Linked DNA regions of Rattus norvegicus. The protein of the gene in region 1 interacts with the protein of each later gene in a pairwise test. Links are inferred from orthologs where the notes say so. Each region holds a gene or a part of one and is shown in the gene's direction. Other genes may lie near its edges. The genes, in order: Rpia, Pcmt1, Atpaf2, Stk16, Ptpn11 and Ntaq1.

Evidence for each region.
Region 2: the proteins of Rpia (region 1) and Pcmt1 interact in binary tests that used the Homo sapiens proteins (3 or more experiments, as listed by UniProt). The two-hybrid records come from large-scale screens. The link is inferred for Rattus norvegicus from reciprocal best matches to the Homo sapiens genes RPIA and PCMT1.
Region 3: the proteins of Rpia (region 1) and Atpaf2 interact in binary tests that used the Homo sapiens proteins (3 or more experiments, as listed by UniProt). The two-hybrid records come from large-scale screens. The link is inferred for Rattus norvegicus from reciprocal best matches to the Homo sapiens genes RPIA and ATPAF2.
Region 4: the proteins of Rpia (region 1) and Stk16 interact in binary tests that used the Homo sapiens proteins (3 or more experiments, as listed by UniProt). The two-hybrid records come from large-scale screens. The link is inferred for Rattus norvegicus from reciprocal best matches to the Homo sapiens genes RPIA and STK16.
Region 5: the proteins of Rpia (region 1) and Ptpn11 interact in binary tests that used the Homo sapiens proteins (3 or more experiments, as listed by UniProt). The two-hybrid records come from large-scale screens. The link is inferred for Rattus norvegicus from reciprocal best matches to the Homo sapiens genes RPIA and PTPN11.
Region 6: the proteins of Rpia (region 1) and Ntaq1 interact in binary tests that used the Homo sapiens proteins (3 or more experiments, as listed by UniProt). The two-hybrid records come from large-scale screens. The link is inferred for Rattus norvegicus from reciprocal best matches to the Homo sapiens genes RPIA and NTAQ1.

The regions. Positions count from the first base shown.
Region 1 is NC_086022.1:104,286,525-104,291,285, reverse strand, and holds part of Rpia (ribose-5-phosphate isomerase), read left to right. Parts: intron 1-414; coding exon 415-483; intron 484-1,128; coding exon 1,129-1,270; intron 1,271-3,247; coding exon 3,248-3,347; intron 3,348-4,761. UniProt on the Homo sapiens protein: Catalyzes the reversible conversion of ribose-5-phosphate to ribulose 5-phosphate and participates in the first step of the non-oxidative branch of the pentose phosphate pathway.
Region 2 is NC_086019.1:3,947,213-3,951,973, reverse strand, and holds part of Pcmt1 (protein-L-isoaspartate(D-aspartate) O-methyltransferase), read left to right. Parts: intron 1-3,788; coding exon 3,789-3,893; intron 3,894-4,328; exon of another isoform or gene 4,329-4,495; intron 4,496-4,761. UniProt on the Homo sapiens protein: Initiates the repair of damaged proteins by catalyzing methyl esterification of L-isoaspartyl and D-aspartyl residues produced by spontaneous isomerization and racemization of L-aspartyl and L-asparaginyl residues in aging peptides and proteins.
Region 3 is NC_086028.1:45,716,977-45,722,293, reverse strand, and holds the start of Atpaf2 (ATP synthase mitochondrial F1 complex assembly factor 2), read left to right. Parts: upstream 1-1,786; 5' UTR 1,787-1,920; coding exon 1,921-2,080; intron 2,081-5,317. Other genes in the region: Gid4 (glucose-induced degradation protein 4 homolog), read right to left, coding at 970-1,158. UniProt on the Homo sapiens protein: Plays a role in the assembly of the F1 component of the mitochondrial ATP synthase (ATPase).
Region 4 is NC_086027.1:84,152,050-84,157,440, forward strand, and holds the start of Stk16 (serine/threonine-protein kinase 16), read left to right. Parts: upstream 1-2,235; 5' UTR 2,236-2,430; intron 2,431-2,616; 5' UTR 2,617-2,705; coding exon 2,706-2,791; intron 2,792-3,322; coding exon 3,323-3,542; intron 3,543-3,829; coding exon 3,830-3,963; intron 3,964-4,111; coding exon 4,112-4,232; intron 4,233-4,358; coding exon 4,359-4,454; intron 4,455-4,815; coding exon 4,816-4,937; intron 4,938-5,046; coding exon 5,047-5,185; 3' UTR 5,186-5,391. Other genes in the region: Glb1l (beta-galactosidase-1-like protein precursor), read right to left, coding at 38-188, 415-581, 744-803. UniProt on the Homo sapiens protein: Membrane-associated protein kinase that phosphorylates on serine and threonine residues. In vitro substrates include DRG1, ENO1 and EIF4EBP1. Also autophosphorylates. May be involved in secretory vesicle trafficking or intracellular signaling.
Region 5 is NC_086030.1:41,077,692-41,082,452, forward strand, and holds part of Ptpn11 (tyrosine-protein phosphatase non-receptor type 11), read left to right. Parts: intron 1-1,164; coding exon 1,165-1,277; intron 1,278-3,661; coding exon 3,662-3,731; 3' UTR 3,732-3,752; intron 3,753-4,339; 3' UTR 4,340-4,761. UniProt on the Homo sapiens protein: Acts downstream of various receptor and cytoplasmic protein tyrosine kinases to participate in the signal transduction from the cell surface to the nucleus. Positively regulates MAPK signal transduction pathway. Dephosphorylates GAB1, ARHGAP35 and EGFR.
Region 6 is NC_086025.1:91,571,884-91,577,174, forward strand, and holds the start of Ntaq1 (protein N-terminal glutamine amidohydrolase), read left to right. Parts: upstream 1-1,975; 5' UTR 1,976-2,115; coding exon 2,116-2,204; intron 2,205-4,103; exon of another isoform or gene 4,104-4,165; intron 4,166-5,291. UniProt on the Homo sapiens protein: Mediates the side-chain deamidation of N-terminal glutamine residues to glutamate, an important step in N-end rule pathway of protein degradation.

The DNA.
Region 1 (4,761 bases):
ACATAATCCTTGTTGCGGGTGTGAAGTGATTTTTCTAGGGAGCAGTAGCAATAGGCCAGACAGTTCAGTATGGCTGGCCTGGTGCTGTCACATAGTCCACAGGGCAGGTGTTCCAAACTGGGCATCTATTCAGGACATGTCCAGAGTCATCTCCCTCACACAGTGCTTCTTAGATGCCTGTTGGAGGGGAAGTGCTTAGCCTGAATAGAGCCATTGTCTACTTTCTAGGTTTCTACCAGACACAGGCAAATGTTTCTGTATTCATTTACTAGAAAGTAGCATTATAGGAGCGAGGATGGCTCTTTAAAAATGGAAGCCAGTTTCTCTTTAAGTATCAGGATTGAACACATTTGGGACACCCACATCTGATCCTACTTCTCAAATGAAGATGATCTCACTCTTTTTTCCTGTCAGAGGCTGCCTGACCCAGGAGAAGATTGTGGCTGGTTATGCCAGTCGCTTCATTGTGATCGCTGATTTCAGGTACTGTTCCAGGGTTTTTCGATTGAACCGAGAAGGTGTATGGGTTCCCACGTTAGAGGAGGAAGCCTGTGGAGGAATGTAGGAGGATTACCTGCTCTCTAGGATGACAGGCAGTGACTCTGCTAATCACCACAGCACCCAGCACTCTTGCATTGAGCTGGGCCTTCATGTTTGGGGATGGGGAGGAAGCAGTGTCACCCTGTAGCCAGAGCTCCTCTGCATGTGTTACTCATTAGGTTTTCACAGGGAGCCTCAGGAAGCAGGGCAAGCACCGTCCATAGGTGGTGACTCAGCACATCCTGCTTCCTCTGGGGTCAGGCTTTTCCACACATGACTGTGTTATGCTCAGTCTTTGACCGGGCTGATTCTCTTTCTGGGAGCCTGAGAGAGGAGGCAGTGTTCTGAACTTGTTAGAAGAGCTGTCTGCATTTGTATTACTCAGGAAATACCACAGCTGCAAGGACGGCGGGGGTTAGCTGGCAAACCATCAGAGCAGATTTTATCACTTTTGTCTATCAAGTCTCTTTAGTGTAAAGCAGCCCTGAACTGTCCTAGTCTCTTTCCCCTCCAGCTGTCTAGGTAGCCCCTAGCCTGAATTTGGTTTTGTATGTTGAACTTATTTAATTTCATTGATATTTTTCCCAGGAAAGATTCAAAGAACCTTGGGGATCGGTGGCACAAGGGGATTCCTATTGAAGTCATCCCAATGGCCTATGTCCCAGTGAGTCGAGCTGTGACCCAGAAGTTTGGGGGTGAGGTGGAACTTCGAATGGCTGTCAACAAGGCAGTAAGTGGCCAGAGCACCCTGACTCAGTGTGCTGCTCTTGTTCTTTCTGTGTCAGTTAGGTCCTGAAGCCTTTGGTGCTCGCTTAACCTCTCAGTTTCCTCCATAGTAGGGGGCGTGGTTCTTTCCTGACATTGCTCGGGGTTGCTTGAGGTCTGGACTGCCCTGTGAATGGCCTCTAAACACTGTCTTTTGGGAAGCTCTGAGGGGACAAAGTTTTCCAGGGTTTGTGGTGTGGTATTTTTCTTTTTTCTTTTATTCTTTCTGAGGCTATCATTGCAAGAGTACAACTCTCATCTCAAAGAGGATAAGAGATAATTTTACTTTAGAGCAAATAGGAATAACTGTGGCCTGGGAACACACATTTGGGTATTCCAAATTCTGCATTCCAGTGAGGTAACACTTTTAAATTTGTACAGAGACAAAACAAAGGTCACAAATGACACTTTTCTTTTTGGTTCTTTTTTTTTCTTTTTCGGAGCTGGGGACCGAACCCAGGGCCTTGCGCTTCCTAGGCAAGCGCTCTACCACTGAGCTAAATCCCCAACCCCGACACTTTTCAAATACATTGGAAACACCAGGTAGGTAGGTCATAGAAAAATGGGGAAATTTTACCTCCCCCCCCCCCCCCCATTTCTGTCCTGGAACTAGCTCTAGACCAGGCTGGCCTCAAATTTATAGAGAGCTGCCTGCCTCTGGGATTAAAGGCAAGCCCCACCATTGCCCTAGCTCTGGTAGCATTCTTAGCCTTTTGATTGGTGTGAACCACAGTGCATTTGCCTTTCAAAGAGTATAGATGGCCCAAGATATTCTGCCTGTGGATTAGTAGCAGTCTATACTAAACTCCAAAGCCATTGAAGTTCCAATTGGTCAATCCAAGTACAGAAGGCTAGAGGAAGATGGTTTTTTTCCAGGAACTTTCTGTACAAGGTAGCCCTACCCTCTCTTTTTTTCCAGTTAGGCATTGGATTCAAGGCTTCAGGAAATGCTAGGCAAGTACTTCATCACTAAGGAGGTAGACTTTCTGGGGGTGGTGGTGGTGTGAACATGTGATACCCCGTGGAGATGTTTCTCTTTAGCTTCTGAGTCTGGGTTACAAAGAACTTTTTCTTTCATATTTAAATAAACAACCAAATGTAATGATCCCAAACTGAAATATGTGTAGCTATGTGTAGCTATTAGAAAAATTTGGGAGATAGAGAAAATGAAATGATTAATAACTGCCCTGACATACTTTGTTGACTTCTCTTTAGAAAGAAGCTGGGATAACTGGTTATGCAGCACCTTATCTTAGTACTTAGAGAGGCTACCTTGAACTTGCTATGACCTTGAACTCCTGATCTTTCTGCCTCCTACCAAGTGCTGGGATAAGACATAGAAGCCACCACACCTGGTTTGCCTTTGTACAGTTTTAACTGCTCCATGCCAGGCTGTAGAGGAGTCTTACTACTTACTTACCTCTGCCTGTGTACTGTCAACATTTATGTTACTAAGCAATCTGATTTCTCTAGTGTCCAGTGGTGTTGAGGAATTCTGGATTCAGAGCTAAACTGTTCGTCCCCTCACCTATCTGTCTGTCCGCCCATCCTTTTAATGAGACTTGCCGATGGAGAAGGTGTGCTGCGAGAAGGCAGGCAGCCTTACGTTACAGCACTGCTGCTTGTGCTAAGCTTGGAGATGCAGCCATGTTGTCAGGCAATACTCTCGGTTTTCACTCTGCTAAGTTGAAAATGTCACTGCCTTGAGCCCTTCCCATTTGCATCTCTGTCCCCCTTTTTGCCACTGAAGAAACAAGTTTCAGAGAATTCAATGGCATTAAGACATAATCATAGTCTGTAGGACTCCAAAGTGCCTGCTCATCTCTGCTTCATGGAGCCACCTTCTAGGAAGCACAGAGCAAGGACATCTGTCTGGCTGTCATCTTTCTTGCTTTTGCCTACCTGTGTTTTCATCCTTGGTCATTGGAAAATTGTCTTCTAGGGGCCTGTGGTGACAGATAATGGGAATTTTATCCTGGACTGGAAGTTCGATCGGGTACATAAATGGGGTGAAGTGAACACAGCTATCAAGATGACTCCAGGTAAGCTGGGTGTTCCCTGGATGTCACCTAGTGTCTCCCTTCATAACTACCCCCTCTTCAGGCCACAGAAGGCAGCATGACCATGTGCTCAGTTTATACCATGTCTGAGGTTTTGTACTTGAGTCACCTCCCTCCCCCTGGTTTGTGAAATAGTGCTGATGTATATATATTTTATAGTCTGTTGGCATTGGGATAGCCTCCAAGCTGATGGCAGTCAGAGGTGCTTGCTTTCAAATAAGGTCACCATCCCCGGGAGAGACCCCTCCCTTTTCCAGGAGGCTGATGCAGCCTCTTCGACCTTTGTGGAGGAGGTGACTCAGTTCACCTGCATTCACTGGTTGTGTATCATAGGCAAGATGCCTTGCCTGTATTACATGGAATTAGTCCTAGATTAGAGCTGATGTAAACCTGGGGGAGGCTGTGTGAAGCCACGTCTGCAGATGCTGAAGTGCTGCTTCTGCTGGAGGAACAGCAAAAGTCCAGTCCACAGGGGTTGCTTTGTCAGGTAGGGTGGTTTCTTAGATATGGTATTGATCTGTGTACATGATCACGTCTTCTAGACAGTGCTTAGCATCCTAAAAGGTTTTATTAAATTCCCACTTAGATGAGGTAGTTAACAGGGGACCACATGGGCCCAGAGCTAAGCTAAGTGGTTTGCCTAACAACTACGACATCAAGGTGAGAGCTCTAGGTTTTCTGTCTCTTGAAGTTTTAAGATTTGTGTTATTTTTAATTATATGTGTGAGTATGTGCACTTAAGTGCAGGTGCCCATAGGGACCAGAAGAGGGCGTCTGATCTCCTGGAGATGGAGTTACAGCTAGTTGTGAGCCTTCTGCTTTGGGTGCTCAGAATTGAACTTGGTTCTCTACAAGATCAGTGTGCTCACTTAAGCGCCGAGCCATCTCTCCAGCCCCAAGACCCTGAACTTGAACGCTCACTCGCTCAAGTGAGACTGTATGTGTAAGCATAGACTTTATGCCACAGGATAATCGTAGGAGTTGAGGACCTACCTACCTGGGTGAAGGCTGGGTGAGCTGGATAGAGATGAATTGGTGTTCAGGCTTCAGTCTGGCAGGTCAGATGTAGGAGGGATATACAGGAGGAGGTGACCGAAAGGCATCGCTCTCCATGCAGTCGAGCAATCGAAGCCATAGCTGGGCAGTTTTTCAGAGTGCAGTGTCTGAGTGGATGCTGGGACAGACTGCCTGGATGGACTTTTAACCCTGCCATGCTCTAGCAGTATGAGCAGTATGTCCCCTATCAAACAGCTCCATGCCTCAGTTTCTCCTTTTTAAAAAGGGCCAAAACTAGTACCCACCTCGTGGGGTCACTGTGGGGATTAAATGAATTAGGTCACCTCTTAAAACAGTGCTTGATGACTAAAGTCCCTAGGGGAGGATGTACTGCTGTCTC
Region 2 (4,761 bases), on another chromosome or scaffold:
GCCCCCTATGCAGGTGCTGAGAACCAAACTTGGGCTCTCTGCAGTAGTAGCATTTACTCTTAACCATGGAGCTGTCTTTCCAGTCCCTGGGTCATCCTTTTAAAAACTTCCTGGGTAGTTATCTTTGGTAGAGTTATAGACTGAACCCAGAACCCTGAGGCATGTTAGACTAGCCCTCTACTACTGAGTCCCAGCCCTAGTGACTGTTTTTAGCACTAAGTCTTAAGAGTTCTTTGAGACTCATGTTACACGGCTGGCCCCGAGTTCACTGCGCTGCAGAAGATGACCTTGCATTTGTTATCCTCCTGCCTTCGCCTCCCAAGTGCTTTATTTGACATATGAGACCTGTCATCACACCTGGCTAAACCTCTGCAGATAAAAGATTTATAAATACCTTCTCCCACCAAATCATTGGTCTTCCCATCAGTTATGAAGCCTTCTGATTAGAGGTTTTTTTGAAGCACAATTTATTTTATTGTTTTAGTTTTGATGCTTTTGTTTTGATATTTCAGAATCTATTGTGAAATCTAAAGTTTTGAATATTTACCCAGTGCTTTCTTTTATATTTTTAGATTTATTTTATGTGTTTTGAGTATTTTACCTGCATGAAGATGCCCCTGTGCATGCCTTCTGCTTACAGAGGTTAGATGAAGGCATCAGAACTATGTGGGTGCTGGGAACAGAACTGGTTTTCTGCAAGAGCCCCCAGTGCTGTTAACCCCCGAGCAATCTCTAACCCCTCATCATCTTTTCTTCTTTGAAGGTTACCATATGGCTTTTATATTTAGGCATGGAATTTTGTTTTGTTTTGTTGGTTTTTGAAACAGGGTCTCTCTTTGTAGCCCTGGCTTCAACTTGCTCTGTAGACTAGGCTGACTTTAAACTCACAGATTCACTTGGCTCTGTATTTAGTTTTAAAATATTTGCCTTTAATTAAGTTTTATATGTGTCATAAGGGAAGGCCAAAGCTAAGCCCCTTTGCTTGTGGCTCTCTAATTGTCTCAGAGTCATTTATGAAGAGTCTTTTTGTGCTGGAGAGATGGCTCAGTGGTTAAGAGCACTGACTATTCTTCCAGAGGTCCTGAGTTCATTTCCCAGCAACCACATGGTGGCTCACAACCATCTGTAATGTAACCTGATGCCCTCTTCTGGTGTGTCTGAGAATAGCTACAGTGTACTCACATACATTAAATAAGTAAATCTTTCAAAAATAAGTGTTCTTTTATTGTTGAATGGTCTTGGCACCATTGGCCCAGTGACTTATGAGGCATTTCTTGGAGCCAGCACTGTGCTCTTCCAAACCCTAGAAGTACGTTGAATGTTATAGTATCTTCTGGAGGGAGGAGGGAGGGGCACTCGCTGTGGCCTTAATGGGGTGCAGAGAGATGAGCTGGGGGGAGGCAGAAAGGCATTGTTGGTTCAAAACAGTTGCTGCTGGTGGTTCAAACTTCCGAGTCTGACTTAAAGTTGTTTATTGTAGGCATTTTTAATCAGAACACAATTTGGTGAAAAATATTCTGGTAGTAATTAATTCAATCCTGGTGTACAACATAAATCTTGAGAAACAAAATTGGGTGAAATACAAGTCAGATATATATGACTGCATTGAAACTCTGTAAAGTCTATAAAGATAGGATCTCTTGACTGACTGAGAAAACAAGCTTACAACAAGGGTCTTGGGGAGCTTTGGGTGCCAGGAAAGTCTCTGATCACACAGATAGCACAAAGGTTAGAAAGCTCATCTGCTTCAATCACTCTGTCCCTTGAAGAAGAACACTGTGCACTTAACACCCCAGGCTCTCCTATGCTTACCCATGAGCACTAACCTGTCTTCTACAGTACTTGGCACTGTACTTCCTTTTGGGGGGAATGATTTCATCATTGTTTAATCTGTGTCTTTTGCTTCCTCTTTCTTTGGTATTATCCTGGTATGGTGATGCTGTAGGCCATGTTTATTTTGTTTCCTGCCCCTTCTTGATCTCAGATTTAGGGTTTTATTTTGTTGTCTTTTTTGAGCAGCTGGATGGCCAACATTAATTTTTGAAAATTGGAAGTTCTACAATTGATGACTAAATGACATAAGTTTGCATAAATATTTAAGCTACTCATGTTGCTTTTACTGAAACCTCATTTTAAAATAGCTATTTATAATGTAGTCAAATAAAGCAAAGCATGTTTTTGGTTTAAACATTTTATTTATTCTGAACTTGCTGGTGTTTCTGTAACCTCAGTGCTCAGGATGTTGAGTAAAAATGGTAGGTTTAAGTCCTCTCTGGACTTAAATAGTGAGACCCTGTCTCTAAAGAGCAAAACAAAAAGAGCAAGAAAACTTTATTTCTCTCCAGAAGTGTGGAAGTCAAGACCATTCAATCTTACTGCTTGTAGCTCTGTAACTAGGCTGTTTTGTTTATCCTTTTGTGGGAAAGAGGTTGTCATGTCCCATAGCCAGTGAACACAGTTAAGAGAGAAGTAAGAGCTTTATTAAGTAGCTGTAAGCATGGGTTTATGAGAGTTATTGAAAGTTTTTTGTTTTGTTTTGTTTTAAATAGATGAGAGTCTTACTGTGAACAAGCTATATAGACCAGGCTGGCCTTGAACGCAGAAGAATTTGCCTGTCTTTGCCCCCTAAGCATTGGGATTAAAAGCATGTTCCACCATACCCACTGAAGTTTTAACAGACAATATTACATAACTAGCTGTACATGAAATATACATACAATTGGCCTTATTTTTCTTCTCAAAGATTGGGTTCTTTTAGACTGTATAACACTGTGTCCGCTGAGCCTTTACCTGGCCTCTGCATCCATGGTTAGTTCTTCTGTTTGTTTGCCTTTCTTACCCCAGGGGTTTACTATGTAGCATTGTCTAGTTTGGGACTCACTCTGCAGCCCAGGCTGGCCTTCAATCCATATGAATGGTCCTGCCTCTGCTTCCCTTACAGTCCTGAGCCACCTACCCAGCTCCTCATTCTGAAGGCTCTGCTTTATGCAGCATCTGCCTTGCACTGGCTTTTATTTGCCTTCTCTGTGTGTTCTTGTCTACTCCAGTTACCACCAGTGTGGATGGAGACTTAGATTGTCAATGTCTAGTGTGTTGGGGGCCCTGGGTACAGTCGCAAACCACCAGGGCACAGAGGGTGTAGAGCAAAGGCAGAAGCAACTGCACACAGTTGCAAGCTTTATTAATCTTTATGTAGATATGAATATGCATTACCACAATTTCCATTTTGGCAAGATACCATAAGATCGTTATTCCCACGATACCAGGAACAACTGAGGCAAGACTAAACAAAGAAATACGACTAAACAAAGGCTTCTTCTCAAAATATTCATATAACAAATCTCCCCTCTTCTTATTATCAAAATAAACTTGACATTACCAAGAAAGTGTGAGAACCGCTTCCACAGAAACAGGACACAGCAGAACATACTTTAACATTTAAAACAAAGAAAAACATTTTCTTCTCAAGGGCGGCATTCCAGCCCCTACTTGTACCTGTCACCAGTCCTTACTTGACCCTGCCTGGGAGCTGCATCTCGATGCCTCCACAATAGATTTCTAACTCAGGACTCTCTCCTGCACCTCAGTGTCACGTGTCGTGTCGTGACCTCTGAGTGCTCCTTGTGTGACCCTCGGCTGCCCATTCATGTTGATTTTTTGACGTTGCCTGGATCATGGCAGGCAGTGGTCTTGTCTGCTTTCTGACCTCTGCAGTGCAGCCAGAGAGAGTAATTTTGAAATATGTCTGATGTCACATCTGCTTAAAATATCTGTCTCATTCATTTCAGAGAATGGAATCATCAAGACAGATAAAGTATTTGAGGTGATGCTGGCTACAGACCGCTCCCACTATGCAAAATCTAACCCTTACATGGATTCTCCACAGTCAATAGGTAAGCTTTATATTTCTAAAGAGTCACATTTTTCTCATGTACTCTAATTTTATGACTAGGAAAAGAGCAGTATACACATATAGATTATAACCCCATTAATGGAAATTTTGTTGCCCAGTTTTATATCCCAACCCACCTTTTGTAGCAAAATGCATCTTTTTATGCAAATTAGTAAGTTTGGGAATATTTTAAGGAAAAACAAAAGTTCAATGAAAATTTAAGAGTTGTAGCTGAGTGCTGTTTATTGAGGATCCCTGACTTTGAAATTGCATATTAGCATTGATTTTTAAAATCAGTATTTAAAGGAATAGGTAACTGAGTCACTGATGGTCTGCTTCACTGGCCCCATGGACGCTTTGGCTTTCGTTTGTCTTTAGAAAGTTCCGCATTTAATTCCTTGTCCTGAAGCAGGTTTTGCTGAGCTGCTGAGCCTTGGCAGTGGGCGCCTTTGAGGCTTAGAGGTGCCTCAGGTTCTGTCGGCCAGCTGCCATGTCTTCTTTTGAAGCACGGTGACAGTCAGCAAGAAGATCCTGGGGAGCTTCTGAACCCCGAAGGCACCTGCTACCACCGCTCAGTGAAAACTGCTTCAGAGGCAGAAGCAGGTAAATAACTCTTGAGAGTGTAACATCGGAAGGAAGAGAAACATGGTCTGAAACTCAGCACAAGACAGTGATTTACCATTGGACGGCAAAAGAGGAGCACATTGAAGAGCTTTACTAGTCTGCTAGCTGGCCGTCTGCCTGTTAAAGTGTTGTCCTAGATGTGACTTATTCTGCTAAGACTTTGCATACTTATTTTACTTATGAAGGGTTTCCTTTTATAAATATGAAGAAAATTCTTCCTGGTGTAAGCCTGTAAATCCAGCTAT
Region 3 (5,317 bases), on another chromosome or scaffold:
ACACAAAACAAAACTGGGTTAGACTTCCCAGTACTTGGGCATCTGAGGCTGGGAGGAAACTCTGGAGCTATGTAGATAAAAATCAGCAACACTACAGGCAGCAATGGCAACCAGCTAGACCAAGGTGTGAGGTCTGGGGAGAGGCCGCGGGGAAGGGGGGGGGGCGACGACACACACGACTGTCAGGGATAGAAAGTAGCTATAGCGCAAGGTAGGGTAAGAAGCCTGGGGCAGGAAGCACAGTGTAGCAGCAGATGTCTATGAACTGACTGACGCCGAGTTTTGGTACTGGAAGGCCTCAGGAGACAAGGTCTTAACACTAAGTGGTGCAACTGGAGATATCTGGGTGTGAGTACCTGGTCTTTGGGGAGCCTTAACCTTTGTGGGTTGTTTCGGCCAATGGAGGGAGGTTGCCCACCTCGCCCCGGTCGCCCCGAGAGCAGCGGGCTGACTGAGTTCTCCAAACTCAAAGGAGCAAGGTCCCTGGCACTTTGGATGGAGTTAGGGTCAGAGGAAAAGCTTCATTCTGGGAGAATGTGACACTGGCCGCTACTGAGTTTGGGGCAGCCAATGAAGAGTTTTTCAGGATCCGACAGGGATTGGTGGGAGGGCTGGCTGGTGTAGGGAGGACAGGACAGGACTTGGGAAGAACCGACCCAGGCTAAAGGACGGCTAGTCATGGGGGTGCTTCCGGATCCCAAGCGGGAGAGTCAAAGGCTCCAAGTGTGGGACAGTCTTCGGGGTCTGTCGGAGGCTGGCCGCTACAGGCTCTGAGTCTAGGGGTGGGTTAGGGGTAGGGTTCGAGAGTGTGACATCAGCTGGGCAGGTCCCGGTGGGAGGCGCCGGGTGCAGGAGGCCCCGGCAGTGAGGGCCTGGTCCGCGGCTGAGGGCTCGAGGAGCCCAGGGCAGGCCCGGCCCGTGAGCGCCGCGAGGAGGCCCTCGGGCCGGGCCTTGCCGCCTGGCGCTCACCTGCAGCACCACCTCTACGTCGTACGAGTTCCCCTTGCTCTTCTGGTGGCCACGGAACTTGGAGCCGCTGTAGAGCAAGCTGGTGGCCACGCCGGGCTGCTGGGTGTTGATGGGCGGCGGCGGGATGAGTGAAGCCGCGGATGTGGCTGAGGCACCCGCCGGCGGGGGACACTCGGTGCGGACCGGCATCGCGGGGTCCCCCGGAGCCAGGGCTGGGGGAGGGGGAAGGAACCGCCGCCGCCGCGCGGGAGCCGAAGCTGCGGGGAGGGCGGACCCGGGCGCGCACGCGCGGGGGAGGGGCTGGGGAACCACCCGCCCGCTGCCGGCTGACCGAGCGCTCGTGTCGCCACCTGGACCCCGAGACCTGCAAGCAGGGCCTCCCAGTCCTGAGCTGGGCTCCCCTTCCCACTTGCCCTCGCGGGCTCACACATACACACACACACACGCACACATGCACACACACACGCGCACACACTCACTCATACACACACGCGCGCACACACACATACACACACACACACACACACTCGCGCACACACTCACACACATACACACACACACACACACACACAAACACACACACACTCTACTGCTTCCAATTGGCGCGGACCCGCCGGAGAGGCGGGAGCAAGCTCACGCGGCGCTTCCGCCCATTGGCAGACAGAGAAAGCACGTGGTGCGGTGCGCGAATGGCCCTCTGGGACTTGTAGTTTTCTTCCCGTAGCGCGGCATGGAGGGGGCGGGGCGAGCACGCTTGTGATGCTGATTGACGGGGGCGGGGGCGGTACGCAGGGGGCGCGTGGCTGTGACGGCGTGCCGTAGGTGTCATGACGAAGATGGCGGCGTGCTGAGGAGGCTGAGGGCTTTGAACCCTTGGTGAGAGGTTTCCGTACGGAACCAGCGAGGCGTTTGGGGGACTCTCTTCGCTCTATTCCTGTACTGTTTTCACGTATGGGTCCACCCAAACCCTTGGGCATGATGTGGCGAATCTACCCCCGGCTGAGGGACCGGTGGCGCGGTCTCTTGGACCGGCCTCTCGGTGACCCCACCGTTTCATTGTGGCCGGGGCCAGCTCTGAGGCCTCCAGCCCGGGCCTACGTCCCGCCAACAGGTGAGGCCCGGACTTCTGTTACTTTTTGTTCAGGAGCCAAGTCGGGCTCACCTGGCGGAAGGTTTCCGACGTGCAGTGCGGGGTGACTGAGGCAGGGTTCAGGCCCATGAGAATATTCAGAGTAATAGAACTCTGTTTCAGTTTGAAAAATGACATCCAAACCAGTGCGGGAGTGACTTTAGGGGACACAGCGTTTCCAGGGTAGGAGATATTTGGCTGAGGCTTCTCTCAGTTTCCTTTCTTTTTCTTCGCCTTTTGCTTGTTTCATTTTTCAAGACAGGGTTTCTCAGTGTAGCCCTGGTTGCCCTGGAACTCACTCTATAGATCAGGCTGGCCTCGAACTCTGAGATCCTCCTACCTCTAGTTCCGGAGTACTGGAATTACAGGCGTGCACCTGGTTCAATTTTTTCCTTTTAAAGGGAAACAGGAGTTCGTTGATTTCAGAAAGGAAAATCTAGGCTTTCAATCAGGACTTCCAAGGTCACAGAGCAGACTGGTTGAAGTTGTGGAGGCAAAGATTAGCTTGACTGCTTTTTGTCTCCAGGACCCAGCCAACACAAGACTTGGCACAGAGCAGGCTGGCTTTAAGTCTAACACCCTCACACACTTCCTTAAGGGTTTGCAGGCCCTCTGTCCTAGTGCAGTGCCACGACCTCTGCATTCTCTGCAGCCTTCTCTATAGTGACGCTTTATACCAGGCTTCTTTGACCTACTAAGGACTGTAATCCTGAAAGAAGGTTATCTCATTGCTTCTGGAGTGAGATTTTACCAGTGAGGTTCACTTTGGTGAATGAAAAGTAATGATGGCCTCCCTCCCTTCGTTGGGTTACATGTTTTGTGTTGAGGGCACGTGGTCTCACCTGAATGGTACGCAACATCAGATGCAGGACTCATTATGCTCACTAAACAATAGTTTGCAATACACTGATGTGGGAAGTACGAAGGACTTGAGAGATCACAAGGATGAGTGTGTACAGGGTGATTGAAAGGGCATTCAAACTGGGGCTTGATAGATGAGTAAGAGGTTGCTGGGGGGGTTGGGGATTTAGCTCAGTGGTAGAGCACTTGCCTAGCAAGCGCAAGGCCCTGGGTTCGGTCCCCAGCTCCGAAAAAAAAGAAAAGGAAAAAAAAAAAAAAGAGTTTGCTGGGGGAGGAAAAGGGTGTAGCATGTCCAGAGGTGATGACTGGGTGTTAGAGATCTTGCTGCAACACTGCCCTCATTAGGCAACAATTCCATAGGCAGTTTGGCATTGGCAGAAGAGTACAAACCTTGGGTCTCTTGTTGGCTAAACTTCTGAGGTACTGTGGTCTTGGGCAGGTATGATGTTGTTTTCTTTGGTGATCTGAAGCATGAGATTGCTTTTAAGGATTCTTTAGGCTGTAAATTCCATAATTTTTTGTTTTACTTAGTATGTATATGTATATATGCCCTTGGCATGTGCATGGAGGTCAGAGGACAACTAGCAGGGGTTGGCTGTGGCTTTCAGGGATTGAACTGTGGATATTGGGTTTTGTGGTCAGTGTCTTTACATGGTGAGCCATTTCCATGGTCTATAACCCATAATCTTATATAAGTGGAAGAAGAGTGGATGCAGCAGGGAGCTGATTTTTACTTATCAGGACATAAACGAAGGCCTAAAAATGGGCTAGGAAGAAGCTTAGTGGTGTCACACACATGTATCAGCTGCTTGGGAGTCTGAGATAGGATCACTTGGGGTCATGGGGGAGGGGGAGGAGAACAGGGCTTGACTTCCACATATCTCATTGTGCCTCACTCATACATTCCTATTTTCTTTCACATTTGACTACCTACTATGTGCTAGATAACGCTAAGAGCCAACTGGTAAGTCTGTATACAAAAGAAAAGATGGCAGATCAAGCACTTCCATGTTGGAAAACAAAAAGTGTCTACTCGTTTAAATTAACCCTTTGCCTATTTAGTGACCTCCCGAATGTCTTTGTTTATGCCTTGCCTCCCTAGGATATGTTCTGCTCTCCAAGTCCTCACCAGGTGTGAGATGTTTCTGTGTATCTCTGAAGCATATAAATTATTAAGTCCTTCTTGATGAAGACTCTAGTTGTCAAGGTCTCTGAGGGACAGCCACACCATGGAAGGTTGTGTGGAGAGGAGGGACATTCGAAGGGCTCACTGCAGCATTACAGGAGGAGGTAGTGTGGTGCAGAGACCTTTGTGAGGCTGTGGCCACCCTCCTGTTTTCTGCCCAGAGGGAGATGTAGTTTGGAGAAGCAGCATTTGGGGCAAATTCCCAAAGAAATAAAAGCTTGAAGTCCTGTACAAATTGCCCCTCTGTCCAAGGCAGCTTCTCCAAGTTTCTGCCACTTTAGAGGCATTGCCTGCTTTGCCATCCTCATAGGCGTGTCAGGGACCAGACTTCTACCTGCTTTTGAAATAAAGTTTTATTGGAACACAGCCACATACTCATACATATTGTCTGATTTTGTTATATTGGCCAGAACAACCTAGAGTATTGACCTCTGCTCCAGATGAAAAGCAGTTGGGAAAATAGTGCACTGATGTATTTGGCTGCAAGATTTTATTACATTTGTTTGTGTCCATATGTATTTTGGCATACATGTGCTACTGTGTACATGTGGAGATCAGAGAACAGCTTCTGAGAGTGCTGCTCTCTACCTTTACATGGGTTTGGAGATTAAACTTGGGGTCAGACTTGCACATATGCACCTTTAACCACTGAGCCATCTCTCTGGCCCTGGCAGAATTTTAAACACCTTTATTAAGATCTAGTTGACTTGAGGGGCTGGAGAGATGGCCCAGGGATTAAGAACATGTGTTGCTTTTGCAGAGGAATGAGTTCAGTTCCCAGGACCCACATAGTAACTCACAGCCATTTGTAACTCCAGTTCCAGGGGATCAAATACCCTCTTCTGACCTCTGTGGGTACTAAGTACATACACAGCACACATACATACAGTTGGGCAAAGCACTCACAGATGAGATAAAATTTTAAAAATCTAATACATAAAATTCACTTAGTATACAGTACATTTCTTAGTGTATATTCAGTAATTTGAATGACCATCACAATCAGTTTAAGAACATTTTTATCAAGGTAAAAGGCAGTCAGTAGGGAGTAGAGTGCTGGCTCAGTGCTTAAGAGCACTGCTCTTCCCAAGGACCTGAGTTCGGTTCCCAGCACCTACATGCAGCTCACAACCATCCATAACTTAAATCCCAGGGGATCAAATGCCTTCTGG
Region 4 (5,391 bases), on another chromosome or scaffold:
CATCACCTCTGGTTCTGCTCTTTTCCAACTAACTCACCATCTCCCACTCAGCACAGATGTAAGGTCCTGGTCTCAGAATGACCAACAGGTTTGCTTTAGCTGCCTCATTCAGAAAGGCAGTGAGGTCCCGGCTGCCATTAAAGTTATAGATCCCAGGTTCTGGCTCATGGTAGTTCCAGGGCACATAACTGAGAAACGAAGATGTTAATAAGACCTAGAGTTTCCCTAGGAAACTCAGAACTTGCAGAGATGCAGCTAGAAAGAGGTTCTGGGCCGCCCTTTCTCACCCTTGCCTGAGGGGTCCTGGAGCTCAAACCCTTTACAAACCCAGTCAGTTTCCTGGGGAACCCCCCCCCCCCAATTTTAAAGAAGAGTAAACCTCGCTTTCACAAAGCTCTCGCGAGCACTTCTTACAATTGCACAGCGTTGAGGCCGCTCAATTTCATCTTGAGAAGTCGATCGGCCCAAAGAACCCGCGGTACGCGAAAGTAGTGCAGGCTGCCAGAAATATAGCGGAACGGGACCCCGTCCAGGAGGAATCTGTCATGTTGCCGATCCACTACGAAGGAGCGAGCTTCTGCCTGGAAGGGCAAAAGTCTGGCTCGAGTGGTCGGGAGTAAGGGTCAGTGTCTGCCAAGTGCTTAAGAGATAAAACTGGCCTTGTCAGTAGTTAGCTATTTCTCCACTGTTTTCTGTTTTTCCCTCCCCACACCCAGACAGGCAGTCTGACCCTCTCGGTTTACCTGGGACAGCAGCAGCAGAATCACAAGCCGCAGGAGCAGGGAAGGCAGGTCGGGTGGCATCTTCGGACCTTACAAAGTTCTTCTATTCAGTGAGGGCTTTCCCACCCGTCACGTGTCGGATTCCTGGGAGGGAACCTCATCAAGCAAAGGGGCGGAGACCACCTCAAGTTTTCAGGCCAGTTAACCCGGACTCTGCCCGTAGCCTTCCACCATCCACTAGTTTGTAAAATCCTCTATATATTACTTCTCGAAGTGCTGAACCCGAATCAACTCCATTAGCATCACCTGGGAGCTAGTTAGAAACGCAGAATCTCGGGTCCTACCCCAGACCTGTAGAATTAAAGTCTGTACTTTAACAAGCTTGCTCTTCTACGCTGAACTCTCGGAGGGCGGGAACGGCGTCTTATGTCCTCATGACTAGCAAAGGATCTGGCACAAATCAGGCTAAATCTATATGAATGGTAGCAGTAGGGTCAAAACGGATTCAGAAACAGTGGAAACCAGAAAATCTTCATGGTGATCATGACTATGAAAAGGGGAAATGGGTTACAAGGAGCCTGTTCTGGTCACTCTTATTTTTAAGGCGCACCCCTTTCCAATATATACCTGTCTGTCTAGGCAGGAGATGTGACGAAAACTGCATAAGCTTAGAAGTCTAATTTTCCATTTCTTCTGCCTTCACACCAGTGGATTTCAGGGTCAGGGTAGAAAATACTATAATTTCTGTTTATTAACACACACTGAAGGCTATGTTTCAAAAACTGTACAAAAGACATCTCATTTAGTTTTGAAACAGCCCATGAAATGATTTTCATTCTCATCTTACACACGAGGAAAATGAAGGTTGGAAATATTACGTGACTGTCCAAAGTCACAACTAGTTCAGTAGAGCTGGGATTGAACTAGTCACTTTGGCCTCATAATTCACAACACTTTGCTGTAGGTACTGACTTACAGCTGGGAAACATGCGGATCTGAAAGACTAATTCCTGGAGGTGACAAAGCTAGGAGACTGTTAGGACCAGATTTAGAAACTGGCATCTAGTTCAAGGGCACACTCTGACACTGGCCAGGTAGTGGAACACAGGCCAGACCCCTAAAAGTATTAAGGGGTCAGACCTCCAGGGATCTAAGGGTCAGCACCCGCCTTTCTCTGGTCCCTCCTCAAAGCTAGATTGTAATAAGTCACTTTCTAACTCCAGCGCGCGGGAGCTATAAGGCCTCCTACCTCCGACATTGAGAGACGGAGGTCCTAGGGGACTCGGGCAGAGCCCTGCTTTGCTCCCCTTTGGTACAAGTCCCTGCGTCTTGACCCTTACTGAAGGGCAAGTGGGAACCCTCGGCGAGATATAGAAACCAACCCACCCCAGGTCTAGCCCGGCCCCGGCCTCTCACTTCCGGGTCCCCACATCCTCTTGCCGCCTCTTGTTGCTAGGATACAGCAGGCCGTTACTTCGACGCGGACTGATGATGTCACCGTAGCTTCCGGTCCCTGGCCCTTTGCACAGGCAGGAGCCAGGTCACTGAAGAGTTTGTATTGGCAGATCCTGTGCTCGGTCCTCAGCGACGGAGGGTGGACTCGGCCAGAGGTGGGCTCGAGTCCCGCACCTACTGCGCCACCCCATGCCTCACGGGTGTGAGAGCTGGACCTGGCCGAAGGTGGGCCGGGGTTGAAGGAAGCGGCCTGGTAAGACACAGCGTGGCCTGAGGCTTTGGGGTGCCAGAACTCAGCCTTCTTAGAGCTGGAGTCACCAGGGACTGTTTTCTTTAGATGTGAATCTGGGTTCTCGGAGGTGAACCTGAGCTCTACTGGTTGGTATCTCAGTGGCTGTCTGGATTGTTCTTTACCCGCGACCTGCTGTTTTCATTCCAGCATGATCCGCCGGGACCCCAACCCATCGTCTGGAAGAGCCCACTCTCCCTGGAAGAAAGACCATCCTTGAAGAGGATGACTGAGACGCTATGGGCCATGCACTGTGTGTCTGTTCCCGGGGAACTGTCATCATTGACAATAAGCGTTACCTCTTCGTCCAGAAATTGGGGGAGGGGTGAGTGTATGGAAGTCACTTAGCTAGACCCAGGTCATTTAGGGGCAGTAATAGGGACACAAGAGTATTAGCCTTAGATTCTACCTCACCTGACCGGTTAGCTGAATAGGTCAAGAATTGTATTCTAGGCCCTGGCCTCCTGAATCTACTTTGTGTGACCTTAAGTAAACTGGTTTCTTCTGCTTAAACGGAGATGATTATAATGTCTCACTGAGGGACTGGTGAGAAAACTAAGTTAGATAGTATATTCTTTAAAACATGTCACCCAGTGCCTGGCTCATGAGCACTTACTAAATTTTGATTGTTACTTGAAATTAATTGAGCATCTTATGCTCAGACCAAAGGGTCTCAGTGATTTCTGTGCCCCTGCTCTTGAAGATGGCAGACCTTAACGTCTTGAAACTATATGAGAACTACATCGTGGGAGGGTTTCTACTCCATGTGAGAGGCACCCTTCCCTAAGGGAATTTCTCGGGGTCTAAGCCATATGGGAGACGACCGTGGTCCTTCATCGACCCCTTTGGCCCACAGTGGGTTCAGCTACGTGGACCTAGTGGAGGGCTTACATGATGGACACTTCTACGCCCTGAAGCGAATCCTGTGTCATGAGCAGCAGGACCAGGAAGAGGCCCAACGAGAGGCAGACATGCATCGCCTCTTCCAGCATCCAAACATCCTTCGCCTCATGGCTTACTCTTTGAAAGAACGAGGTGCTAAGCATGAAGCCTGGCTGCTGCTACCCTTCTTCAAGGTCAGAAAAGCTTGTGGTTATAGAGGGGATTGTAGCATTGTACAACCCCACCAAGGGCTCTGTGGGCAGTCAAATATAAATACCCTAGGAACACACACCCTGGTTTTGGCCACTTTATATTTGGGGCTCAGAGAACCATAGGATCCCCTATGAACTTGACATCACACATAGCCCCAAATGATCAGTGAGAGTGTATGTGGTAAAAGGGTTGACAGACTTCAACACAAAATAGAATCCTGGGAAATGGAAGCTTCAGAATGTCTCAACACGGAAAACTTGTGTTGTAGAGAGGTACACTGTGGAATGAGATAGAAAGGCTGAAGGACCAAGGCAACTTCCTGACTGAAGACCAAATCCTTCCGTTGTTGCTGGGTATCTGCAGAGGCCTTGAGGCCATTCATGCCAAAGGTTATGCACACAGGTCAGTGGGCGGGCCCTACACTTATTGAAGCCAGGGGAAAGAGCAATGCCAAGAGAAGTGGGGTTTCTCTGCACTCTCTTCATGGTGCTCCCTGGGATACCAGCCTACCTACCCAGGATGCCTTTGGGTCATTTTCACTTCCCTCCAGGGACCTGAAGCCCACCAATATTTTGCTTGGTGATGAGGGGCAGCCGGTTTTAATGGACTTGGGTTCTATGAATCAAGCATGCATCCAAGTGGAGGGATCTCGCCAGGCCCTAGCTCTACAGGTAAGAGAGTCCCCAGGTTTCTTTGGCCATCTCCTCCCCATCCCCAGACCATTCTGATGCATGCACCAATTTGGTCACATGATATGGCTTGTGCTCCACTTTTGAGCTCTGGGGACACTGTTCCAGGACTGGGCAGCCCAGCGGTGCACCATCTCCTACCGGGCACCTGAACTTTTTTCTGTGCAAAGCCACTGTGTCATCGATGAGCGGACTGATGTCTGGGTGAGGAGCATGTGGGTGGGAACCTGGGTGGAGAGGGGTGTGGCTTTGTAACTATTTTGGATTAAAGGGAAGGAGACTTGGTTTCTGTTGCATGGAACCCCAGAGCCACAGTATGTCTCCATACCCGTCCACTTCCTTCCTGGGAACCATCACTGACACTGTTCTCAGGAAGCTGTGCAATCACTGTGGCTGAACTGCTAGAGGCACTGGCTAAGCAGGGGCACACAGACCTCCTTCCTGCTAACATGGTTCCTTGGAGCGAGGTTGGCATATTTTTAGCTTACATGGTCTCCTTTTACCATAGCAATAAGGAGAGAGATGCCATTTTTCACCTTCCAGGAACTAACCAAATTATGCTCAGTCCCTAGGCTGTGTGCTTTATGCAATGATGTTTGGGGAAGGCCCTTATGATATGGTGTTCCAGAAAGGTGACAGTGTGGCCCTTGCTGTGCAGAATGACCTCAGCATCCCACAAAGCCCCAGGTGAGGAGTAAGAGGACACTGAGCATTGTAGACTTGGCCTAGAGCCAGCCGAGTTGGAATCCTAGCAGTTCTAGGTGTCCTCCAGTCCTCTGCCTTCCCCATCCCACAGGCATTCTTCAGCATTGCGACAGCTGTTGGCCTCTATGATGACTGTGGACCCCCAGCAACGCCCTCACATCCCTGTCCTCCTCAGTCAATTGGAGGCATTGCAGCCACCAGCTCCTGGCCAGCACACCACCCAAATCTGATCAAATCAGTGAGCATATTGGGAAGATGACCTTGAATCAGCTCTCATGCCTCATTGGAACTTCTGATCTACACAAGATGGGTCTCACCATTAGGGGCAAGGATGGTGGGTCCTTGTATATTCTGCTCTTATCCCAATACCTGGGCAAGGAGCCTAGGGTGAGTTGGGGGTGGGGGGGATGAAACAGAAAATATGGCTCAAAGCTGG
Region 5 (4,761 bases), on another chromosome or scaffold:
GTCAGATCTCCTCTAGCTGGGGTTAAAGCTGGCCAGGTGTGAGCTATCATATGTAGGTGCTGGGACTTGAACCCTGGTCCTCTGTAAGAGCAGCATGAGCTCTTAACTGCTGTTTTATCTCTAGCCCAGAGATGAGGTTAGAATCCTGTTCCTCCTGCCTCCTCCTGGGTGCTGTGATCATGGATGTGCAGTGCCCTCTCCTCGCTGCTTCATCTTCCAGAATGGAAGGCATCCAGAGTGAAGAGAGAGTGGCCACTGAAGAGTCCCACTTTGATCGGATTTGTTGCCTTTGGCCTGGGAGCACATCCATGAATGGTGCTCAGTGGTCCTTGCCACCTTGCATAGTGTGTCCATCTCTCCGCATCCAAGGGGACTTAGTCTTAGACATGAAGCCTGTAGGCTCTCCTGTCCCATGTATAAAGGGCTTGGCTTTGTAGAGAACCTACTCACTCCTCCTGTGGTCTTCATGTAGCCGGGCAGGCCTTGAACTTAGGGTGAGTGTGCGCGTGCTCAGTACAAATGCATTGTCAACGGATATTCAGTGCATGGAGAGCGGACTCGACAGGGCTCTTCTCTGCTCTCTACACGGGTGTGGCATGTGTGAGCGCTCACACCTCTCACACACGCAAGCACATGGTGGGATGAGATTACTTTCCTGTTGATTTGCTCTGCTGGTTTCCTTGCCCCACCATTTCATCTTCGGATGCGGAGGTCTTTTCTGAGGTATATAGGAGGTAGGTTGGAGGGTTGGGGGAGTGTCTCACTGGCTCAACACATGCCCAACATGGTACAAGGGCTCTGGGTGCCATCGCCAATATGCTAAATAAATAAAGTGCATTATTGTGCCTTCCACCCCTGCACACGGTGATTAGAGCTCGTGCAGTAGGAGGAAGGCCTCTGGTCTGCATCAGTGGGCAGTTCCTGCATCCCTCCGGCTTCTGGGTCTCCTAGGGATGTGTTCACAGCGCATTCCTCCTGCAGGTGCTGGGCCGGCCGGCCGGGAGCTCCTGACAGTTTGGTCAACATGTTAGTGTTCATAAGAGTCTAGTCTGTCCATCTGTCTGTCTCTCTCTCGTTTCCTTTGATGAAATAGCCTTCTATTCCTGTGTTTTTCTAAAAGTCGAGTCCACAGTCCTTCTTACTTGTATTTTTTCCCACTTTCAGAAAAGCAAAAGGAAAGGACATGAATATACCAATATTAAGTATTCCCTGGTGGACCAGACAAGTGGCGATCAGAGTCCCCTGCCACCTTGCACCCCAACGCCACCCTGTGCGGAGTAAGTATTGATGTTGGCGTTATAGCTCTGGTCAAAGCTTGCTGTCTGTATTCCTCTCTCATGCTTGCTTGCTACCCACTGATGGTACATGGGGCGGTCAGGCGCAGGGGATCTCTAGGGACTGTGGACGATGTCTCAGCAGGGTTTCCAGGCCCCTAACCAGGAGGCCTGTGCTGGGCCCTCCAGGACCCTGTGGGGCCCTAAGCATGCTAGGAAGGGTTCTCTGGGAAAATCGCGTTTTCCTTTTGCAGTTAGCATTATTTCAGAGGCAATGCTGTCCTTACAGTGTGTTCTGACTCTGAGTAAGAATAAGTAAGTTCTATATTTATGCGTGGACAGGACTATGATCTACCAATAAGAGTTTTTAAACCAAAGGTCAGAAAGCCAGAGCCTACAGGCCTAGCTTTGCTCTTGTAAAGGAGTTCTTCTTTCCGACAGACAGACAGACAGACAGACAGACAGACCCCTCAAAACCCAGCAAGGTGACAGTTGCACAGGGGCAGCCATCCTAGTGGGAGATGGCGGGCCATTACGAATGGGCATCCTGCAAAGGAAGCAGCAGGCGGCTTAGGGACAGGACACGGCGCAAAGCTCTTCCCACACACCACGCAGTGCCAGAAGGGGGTGCAGTGCTGCTGAAGACAGATTGTTTTTAAGGAGCGGCTGCTGCGTGGCGCTGCTTCAAGCTCATTGCTTCAGCCCACAGGGCAGCTTGCCCCAGACTGCAGCCAGAGCCGTAAGAGCACGCTGCCTGCTGACCTTGCAGCTTGGAGAATGAATACCTCTCCTGGAAGCACTCAGATCTCAGGGAAGGTTTTGTTCCAGAGGCATTCAACATGATGCCATCTTAATGGTTTGTGCATCTTTGACAGGAAACTGACATTTCCAGAGTGTGAGTTGAACTAGAGACACACCCAGAAGCAGAAAGGGCCCAGGCTCTGTCAGTCAGACCCCAAGAGGGACTGAACTTAGCTCCTGGTGCTCACTGGTTTTTCACTGACACAGCACTGTGAGAACTCACCAGTATGGTGGCTCGGAGAGCTCGGGTGGTACAGTATTGAACCAGCAGCGTGGCTGCGCCTGTCTACACGTCATCCTTGTGTCTGTTAGTCTGCTTATAGCTCTTGAGGTCAGTGTCCTTAGGCCACTTTGGGGTAAAACACCCCAGTCCTCTGAGCTGGTGCTTTGTAGCCGGCTACTGAAGACTCCCGGGAGAAGCAGGACTCCAGTAGAAACCACATTCACATTCCAGGAAACCCAGGTCCCTGCATTTTAAGTGACAGTTTCCAGGGGTGTTTGGCCAGGTTAGGATTGAAGTCTACTGTGACCTCTTTCCTTCACTCTGCTCCTCCTGTCACCCCAGTGCTTGATGTCTGTAAGAGCCCAGACTTACATGTCTCCACCCCTCATGCAACCTGGGAAAGGAAAACCCCAAGGCATAGCACACAGAGGGACTCTCTGGCCAGTAGAGTCATCACACGTTGGTTCTTTCCAGAAGGGCCTTGCAAGCTCTTGGGTTAAAGTAAAACACACAGGGCAGTATTTGTTAGCCAGTCACGTGGCTAGCAGCTGTGCTGTCTGTACCACAAGGTTGCTCTCTGCCCTAACATTTACTTTTACTTTCCCCTGGAATCCCACTTGTTTGCTTCTGCTGTGGGCTTTTAAAGCCCCGCTGACTTTAATATTGGCTCTACACAGCTCTGATAGATAGCAGATAGAGGCCTGTGTTTACATTCTCTCTCTGTTAAACACAGAAATGAAATCATGTGGGAAGGGTGTTCTCTCCTGAGTCACCTTCCCTCCTCCTGCTCTGTTCTGCCCCAGCAGGCTGACTGGTGATACTGGTGTCTTAAATCGATAGCTATAGTAACCTGCTGGGGAGCAGCACCTCACGCTACTCACACTACTGGGTGAGCACCCTTCCTACAAAGCTCACCAGTGACTGACAGGCAATCTGCCTTCGTGCTGTCCCATGAGGGATGCACACCTGAGATCCTAGGCCCCAGGGCTGCTCAGAGATCCTATCCTTTTGTCCCACACAGCTGGCTAATAGCCTTCTTTACAGAAGGAGACTAGGCCTTTGGGTGCTTTTAGTTCTTCATCCAAGGCTCTAAGGGTGACTGGAGCCCTCACTTGTGATGCCTCTGTGGAAATGGCCACAGTTCCTGTCTTTTGTGCACCTACTCCTTCACTGCCCTCCAAGCTGCCTTCCCTCCATTCACACTCTGGAAGACAGGACTCAGGGCCTCTGCTGATTTTCCAAATTCATAATAGTCTGTGTCTGATGTCCATTTTGAGAGCCAGCTCCTGGGTGAGAAGGGGTCAGTCTTGGCCTAGCTGGACATGGCAGTCAGGTAAGTGTCTTCCTTCTTGTGTGTCTACAGAATGCGGGAGGACAGCGCTCGAGTCTATGAGAACGTGGGCCTCATGCAGCAGCAGAGGAGTTTCAGATGAGCTTCGGGTGGCAGCGCGCAGGTATGACACCAGTCTCTCCCTGGGGCCGGCCACAGTGGTCCAGACAGGCAGGCGACTTGTTCGTGCCAGAGCAAGACGTCCTGTGATTGAGTCGTGCAAACCAGCCTTTCTCTTTGCCTTGCCCCTCTCCAGGCCGGGTTTGGTTTACAGTTCATTAAGTCAGATCAGTTAACTGCATGGGATGGAGCTGGCACAGCAGTTGACAGGGATGGAGTGGACTTGGGTGGTACATGCCCTGTTGTTTGTGACCTCTTGGCATCAACAGCAGGGATGCCTCTGAGGACGTGGGGTCCCAGGCTCCCCTGGCTTTTTTGATTTAGTCATTTCTCTGTGAGATGCCTCCCTGTCTTTTGTGGTAAGTTAGAAACACACAGAATGGTATCACACATGGAAATGTCTGTCAGTGACAGAGTAGCTCAACAGAAAGCATTTATTCAGCATGCGTGTGCATGTGTGTGTGTGTGTGCACATGCGTGTGTGTGTGTGACATGCTAGTTTCAGTGCCCAGCATCTCCCAAAGAAGGTGTAAAGCTTCCCATGCTTTTAGATGTGTGCTCTCTAAAAGTTGTAACTTGTTTCTTTCTCAGATGTGAACTTTCACCCCTTCCCTAAAATGTCAAGAATAGACGAGAAAGTTTCCAGGACCCGTGTTCAGAAGCTCGCCGGGGTTGACTGACTGCCTTTTGAGAAGCGAAGTTTGGAACCATTTGAAAGAGCACGTGCCTAATTGGCACCTCCTTTCCTCAGCTAAGGAGAAACTGCTCTGCGTTGTCGACAGTGCTATTGTCATGGAATTGGTTTTGAATTGTGAAGCAGCTAAATTGTGCTCTGTATTTTCTACATTGTGGGACTCAAATTCTAGTCACGGGCAGGATTTTGTTTGTTTCTTTTTATGACCTTAACAGACCTGTTAAGACCTGATTTTTTTTTTTTTTCTTCCTTTCTCTTTGAGGAGTTATGGGCTCCTTGTAAGAAGAAAGGATTTAGGGAACTTCAGGCACAGCCTCCC
Region 6 (5,291 bases), on another chromosome or scaffold:
AATTAGATGCTTGCACACGTACTCCCTGCTTGCTGCTTACTATAAAGTCTTGTCCTGATAAGACATTCGGGGCTCCCCCACAACCAAAACCATCCTGAGTGACAGTGGTGCATCGGGGAGACCCGAGCTAGCTTAAATTGAATAAAGACCTTGTTTGAGTTACATCAGATTGGCTCCTGTGTGATCACTAACATTACCCTGGCATAACGGAACAAGATGTAGAACTCTCAGCTACTCCAGCATCCTGCCTAGATGCTGCCATGCTTCCTGTCATGATAATAATGGACTGAACCTCTGACACTGTAAGCCAGCCCCAACTAAATGTTGTCTCTTGTGTTGACTTAGTCATGGTGTCTCTTCAAAGCAATGGTAACCCTAAGACAGCTGGAGTGGAACACCCACGTAAATAGTAACTTGAAACTGGTTCCTGTTCATTGAGGAAGGGAAGGGCTAATAGAAGGCAGATCAGTTTGCTGGAGTTGCCAAAGTGTGGGACGATGTGCAGTTGCAGGGCAGACAGGTAACCCCTAGACCATGGTGTGTGGGGGTAGGTGGGTGGGGTTGGGTGTGGTGTGGGGCAGATGAGGGGGAGTCTGAGAACAGCGGGGTTGATTCCCACAGCACCTGGGGCAAGAGTGCTATGAGGGGAGGAAAGAGGATGAAGGCCATTGTGTGATTGCTGTCCACCTACAACTGCAAGCATGCTTTCCCACGCTCTGGTGTCTGTCCAGAGCTGACCGCACTGCAGGTTAGGCTGATCACACATGATGGACTGAACTAGCTCTGGTCTGCTCGAAACTGCAGGGATTCTTGCCCTTGCAAAATCTTTCCATCCTTCTACTCAGAAAGCTTAACCTTACACTCATTTTACCAACCAAGAGAGGCTTCATGACACCCTCCCACACACCACTGAGCCTCTGTTGAATTGAATATTCAAGCTGAAGCAATAAATTGGTAACAGACACAAACACATGTTTAGTTCTTAGGATTTATGGGTTTTGGAAAGCAGCTAAACTTCACCAGTATACCACCAGCACTTTATGGGATTTGGGCCCCAGAAGGCTGAGAGTCTGGGTGGCCTATAAACCAATCTTAAGAGGTTCAGTTTTTGCAGGGACGTTCTGAGCACTTACAGCACACACAGGAAACTGGGATGTCTACAGAGAGTTCTCTGTGTCCTTCATTCACCCTGAATAAACACTTTTAGCAATTTGGTGTCTTTCCTTCTGAAAATAAATATGGTTAACACAACATGCTATCCAGACTCTTTAAATAAATTTTTTTAAAGAAAAATTCTTTTGTAGTCCAGGCTCACCTTGCACTCAAAGCAATCCTCCTGCCTCAGTCTCCTGCATGCAAGGATGCAAGGACTATCCGACACCACACCTGGTTAAAACTTTTTTCTTTAAAACACACACACACACACACACACACACACACATCCAGATTAAAAGAAATTAAAATACAATATGGTCAGATTTGGATGCACTCGCTCAATTTTAGTCTTTCCCTCTTTCTCGGTTCCTGCTCGACTTCTAAAGCTTCAGCTGTCATGCCCAAGAATCTCTTACTTTAGGGTTTCTTCTGGTTTCATACAGCTGGCAACCTTAGCTGGAGAATAGGGGTATCCGGAAACTCATACCTAACACTGCTACAACACAAGCAATCCCTCCACCTGAGGGCGACTAGGTCCACGCAGCGCAGCTCAAGAACCGTTCGGTCGGAGGCGAGAGAAGCCTCTGAGTGGATCCTACTCAGCCCCAGGCTCCACCCACCATGTAAGACCTAGCAAGAACTACACAGTTCTTGGTGTCCGAGGATTCGCATTCCCAGCCGCCACTCCAGCAGTCCCGCCCCACCCCACCTTAGGCCCCACGCCCACTCATTCTCCCAGTCCCGCCCATCCGGAACCACGCAGTCTTCGTCGTCCCGGGCTCCGCCCTACGCTGCACTGGGTCCCGCCCACCCGGCTCCCGGCTCCCGGCTCCCGGCTCCCGGCTCTTCTACCCGGAAACTGTCCTGGCAGTCTACACTCCTGTCCTCTCCGCTTGGGAGATTGGCAACAATTGTGGCTAGCGGGTTGTTTAGTTGTTCTGTGAGCCACAGTTTCGGGTCATGGAGGGGGACAGCCGCGCCGCCACGGCCTCGCAGTACCAGCCGGCCTGCCCTACGCGGGACGCATGTGTCTACAGCAGCTGCTATTGGTGAGGGAGCGCGGGCGCGGTCCCCGGGAATCTGCGCGTCTTCGCGCGCCGCCACCAATGCGTTCCTCTCCCGGTCCTGCTCCGAGCGCGGCAGGCCCACACTGCCCGGGTTTGGCGCCGGGATGAGGAGGTTGGGGAACGCATTTCTGGTCTCCATAACTGGGCGAGGGCTGTGGGGTGGAGTTGAGGCGTCTTAGTGCACAGGGACGAGGTAGCGGAGTTAGACTGGAGACCCTACGGTAACTGTTGTGGTCTGTGTTGTTTCGGGTTGAAATAGAGGTCTTTTTAATTTTAAAGACAATGGAGACACAGAGTTTGTGGTAGCCGGAAACCCAGTCCATGCAACTGGCTATCCTGATCACCGAACTGGCGTGATGATAATGGTTACATTTGCACTGTCCTTGCCATATGCCAAACATTGTTTTGGGTGCACGGTGTAAATTAACTCAGTTGAAGCTCACAGTAACCCCAAGAGGTAGGCTCTGTTGTGATCGCAGCTTTGAAGAACTCTGAGGCACAAAAGGGTGCTGCTGTTTTACACAAGACCTCAGGATTGTGAGGTTAGTGCCCTTAGGCTACCTCTGCAGCTCAAACACTGTCCACCTTGGCTTTTTGGCTCCCAGGCCTCACCTTCCTTTTGTGTAGGGACTGCTTCCCCAACCCAGAAGAAATCTCAGGATCATGTAAACATACTCCTCCTCACTCTACCAAGGATACTAAGAACTTAACATTCATTCAGCCGTGACCACTTTAACCCAAGTCCAGTTGCTTGCTCTGGTTCTCAACTGCCCAACACTGCAACCCTTTAATACAGAGCCTCATGTGGTGATCCACAGCTGTAAAAATTTCATTGCTATTTCACAACTAATTTTGCTACAGTTATGAATCATAATGTAAATATCGGATATTTAACCCCACGACCCACAGATTGTGGGTCCACAGAGAGTGGATGGTAGAGCAATGTCTTGGAGACAGGTTCTATGGTAGTTATTGACAGAACAAAGGCTGAACCATAGAATGATTGTGGTTTGCCTCTGACCACACAACTAAGTGATGGAATGAGATCTGGAGTCTACATGGTGGTTGGAAGTCTTTGCTTTTTAGCTGTTGCATTGTATATCTGCTCCACTTGGTTTCCATTGCTAGTTTTTATCTGGAGCATTTCTGTATCTTTCATTTATTCAGTAAATATTTTGTTGGGATGTGAAATGTATGTTGGTTGATTCTGTCTGTGCACTGAGGTTTTAGCAGTAAAGAATGTGGATAAATTTCCTGGCAGTGCCAAGGAGCTAGGTCCTGGTTTCTAAAAGGGGTGTTTGGGATCAGTGAAAACAAACTACTTGGGGGTTGGAGAGATAACTCAGTGGTTAAGAGCACTGACTGTTCTCTTCCAGAGGTCCTGAGTTCAATTCCTAGCAACCACATGGTAGCTCACAACCTTCTGTAATGTGATCCGATGCCCTCTTCTGGTGTGGCTGAAGATAGCTACAGTGTACTTATATAAATAAAATAAATACATACATCTTAAAAAAAAAACCCCAACAAACTACTCAAAGTCAAATTGTGGGTCCAAGCTGCTGTCCTCTGCTGAGATGGCTCTCTAGATTGGGCTTTCGTTCTCTCTCTCTCTCTCTCTCTCTCTCTCTCTCTCTCTCTGTGTGTGTGTGTGTGTGTGTGTGTGTGTGTGTGTTTTCTGCTCCAGACAACTTTCAGACCACTCTGTGTGCTCTGCTCTAGACAGCTTTTTCTTGCTATTCTGAAAACCTTCCAGTTGAGACAGCTAGCTTTCTGCTCAAGACAGCTCTCTCTGTTAATAAAAATTCTAAAAGCTCTTTGAATAGCTCATGGATTTTCTGACCAAAGTCAGAAATCCTGTTAGAAAAAATTGAAAAGTAATTCTTGGGTTTTCTGATCAAGATCAGAAAGCCAGCGGGGGAAAAATTCTAAAAGAGCTATGTTTGCTCTTCAGACAACCTTCTCTGGATAGCTGCTGGAAAACATTCCTAAACAAGCTGTGTCAACTAAATAAATCCTATGAGAAAAAATTCTAAAAGAGCTATGAAAAATTCTGAAAGAGTTGGGTTCACCCTTCTTGGATTTTCCCACCATGTTCTAAATCCTGTTAGAAAAAAATCTTGAAGAGCTGTTTTTGATCTCCAGACAGCTCAGCTCTCTAAGAACTGCTACTGCTTATTTCATGAAGACCAAAAGCCCAGTTTTTAATTTGCATATCAATTCCATTATTTATTCCAGGTTCCCTTTTGATCCCTATGAATCCTGTGACCCCAACCCCTGAATTCTTAGGAGACAGCAAGCACTTTTTGTTTCTTTTTTTTAAAAAATATTTTATTTATTTATTATATATGAGTACCCTGTAGCTGTCTTCAGACACACCAGAAGAGGGCATCAGATCCCATTACAGATGGTTGTGAACCACCATGTGGTTGCTGGGATTTGAACTCAGGACCTCGGGAAGAACAGTCGGTGCTCTTAACCACTGAGCCATCTCTCCAGCCCTCCTTTTTTTTTTTTTTTTTTTAATATTGCAAAAAGAATTCAGAGATCCGCCTGCCTTTGTAAACTTGGCTAGGTGGGACCTTGTCCTGAGATTACCGTTCCGACCACAGCTGGACCTAAATTCTCTCTGTCTGAGGCTGATCTTGAACGCAGGAATCTGCCTGCGTTTGTATCTGCCTGTATCTTTCCAACAAGCTGGCACGTAGTATAGCTGCCTCTGTTCCTTTAGACCTGTGAAACTCCTTTATACAATTCATATTGCATACTTAAATTTTTTGTGTAGTTGAGAAATTATATATATATATATATATTTTTTTTTTTTTTTTGGTTCTTTTTTTTTTCCGGAGCTGGGGACCGAACCCAGGGCCTTGCGCTTCCTAGGTAAGCGCTCTACCACTGAGCTAAATCCCCAGCCCCGAGAAATTATATATTTTTGAGCTCATGTTTTTAGGGCTCTTGTTCCACAGCCTTAAGGGTTGTCTCGAAGGTCCCAGTGTTTACCTTTTTGTTGAGACATTAGCCACACCTTCGCCTCCTGGACTCAGACTGTCTTGTCTGTCTCTGATTATC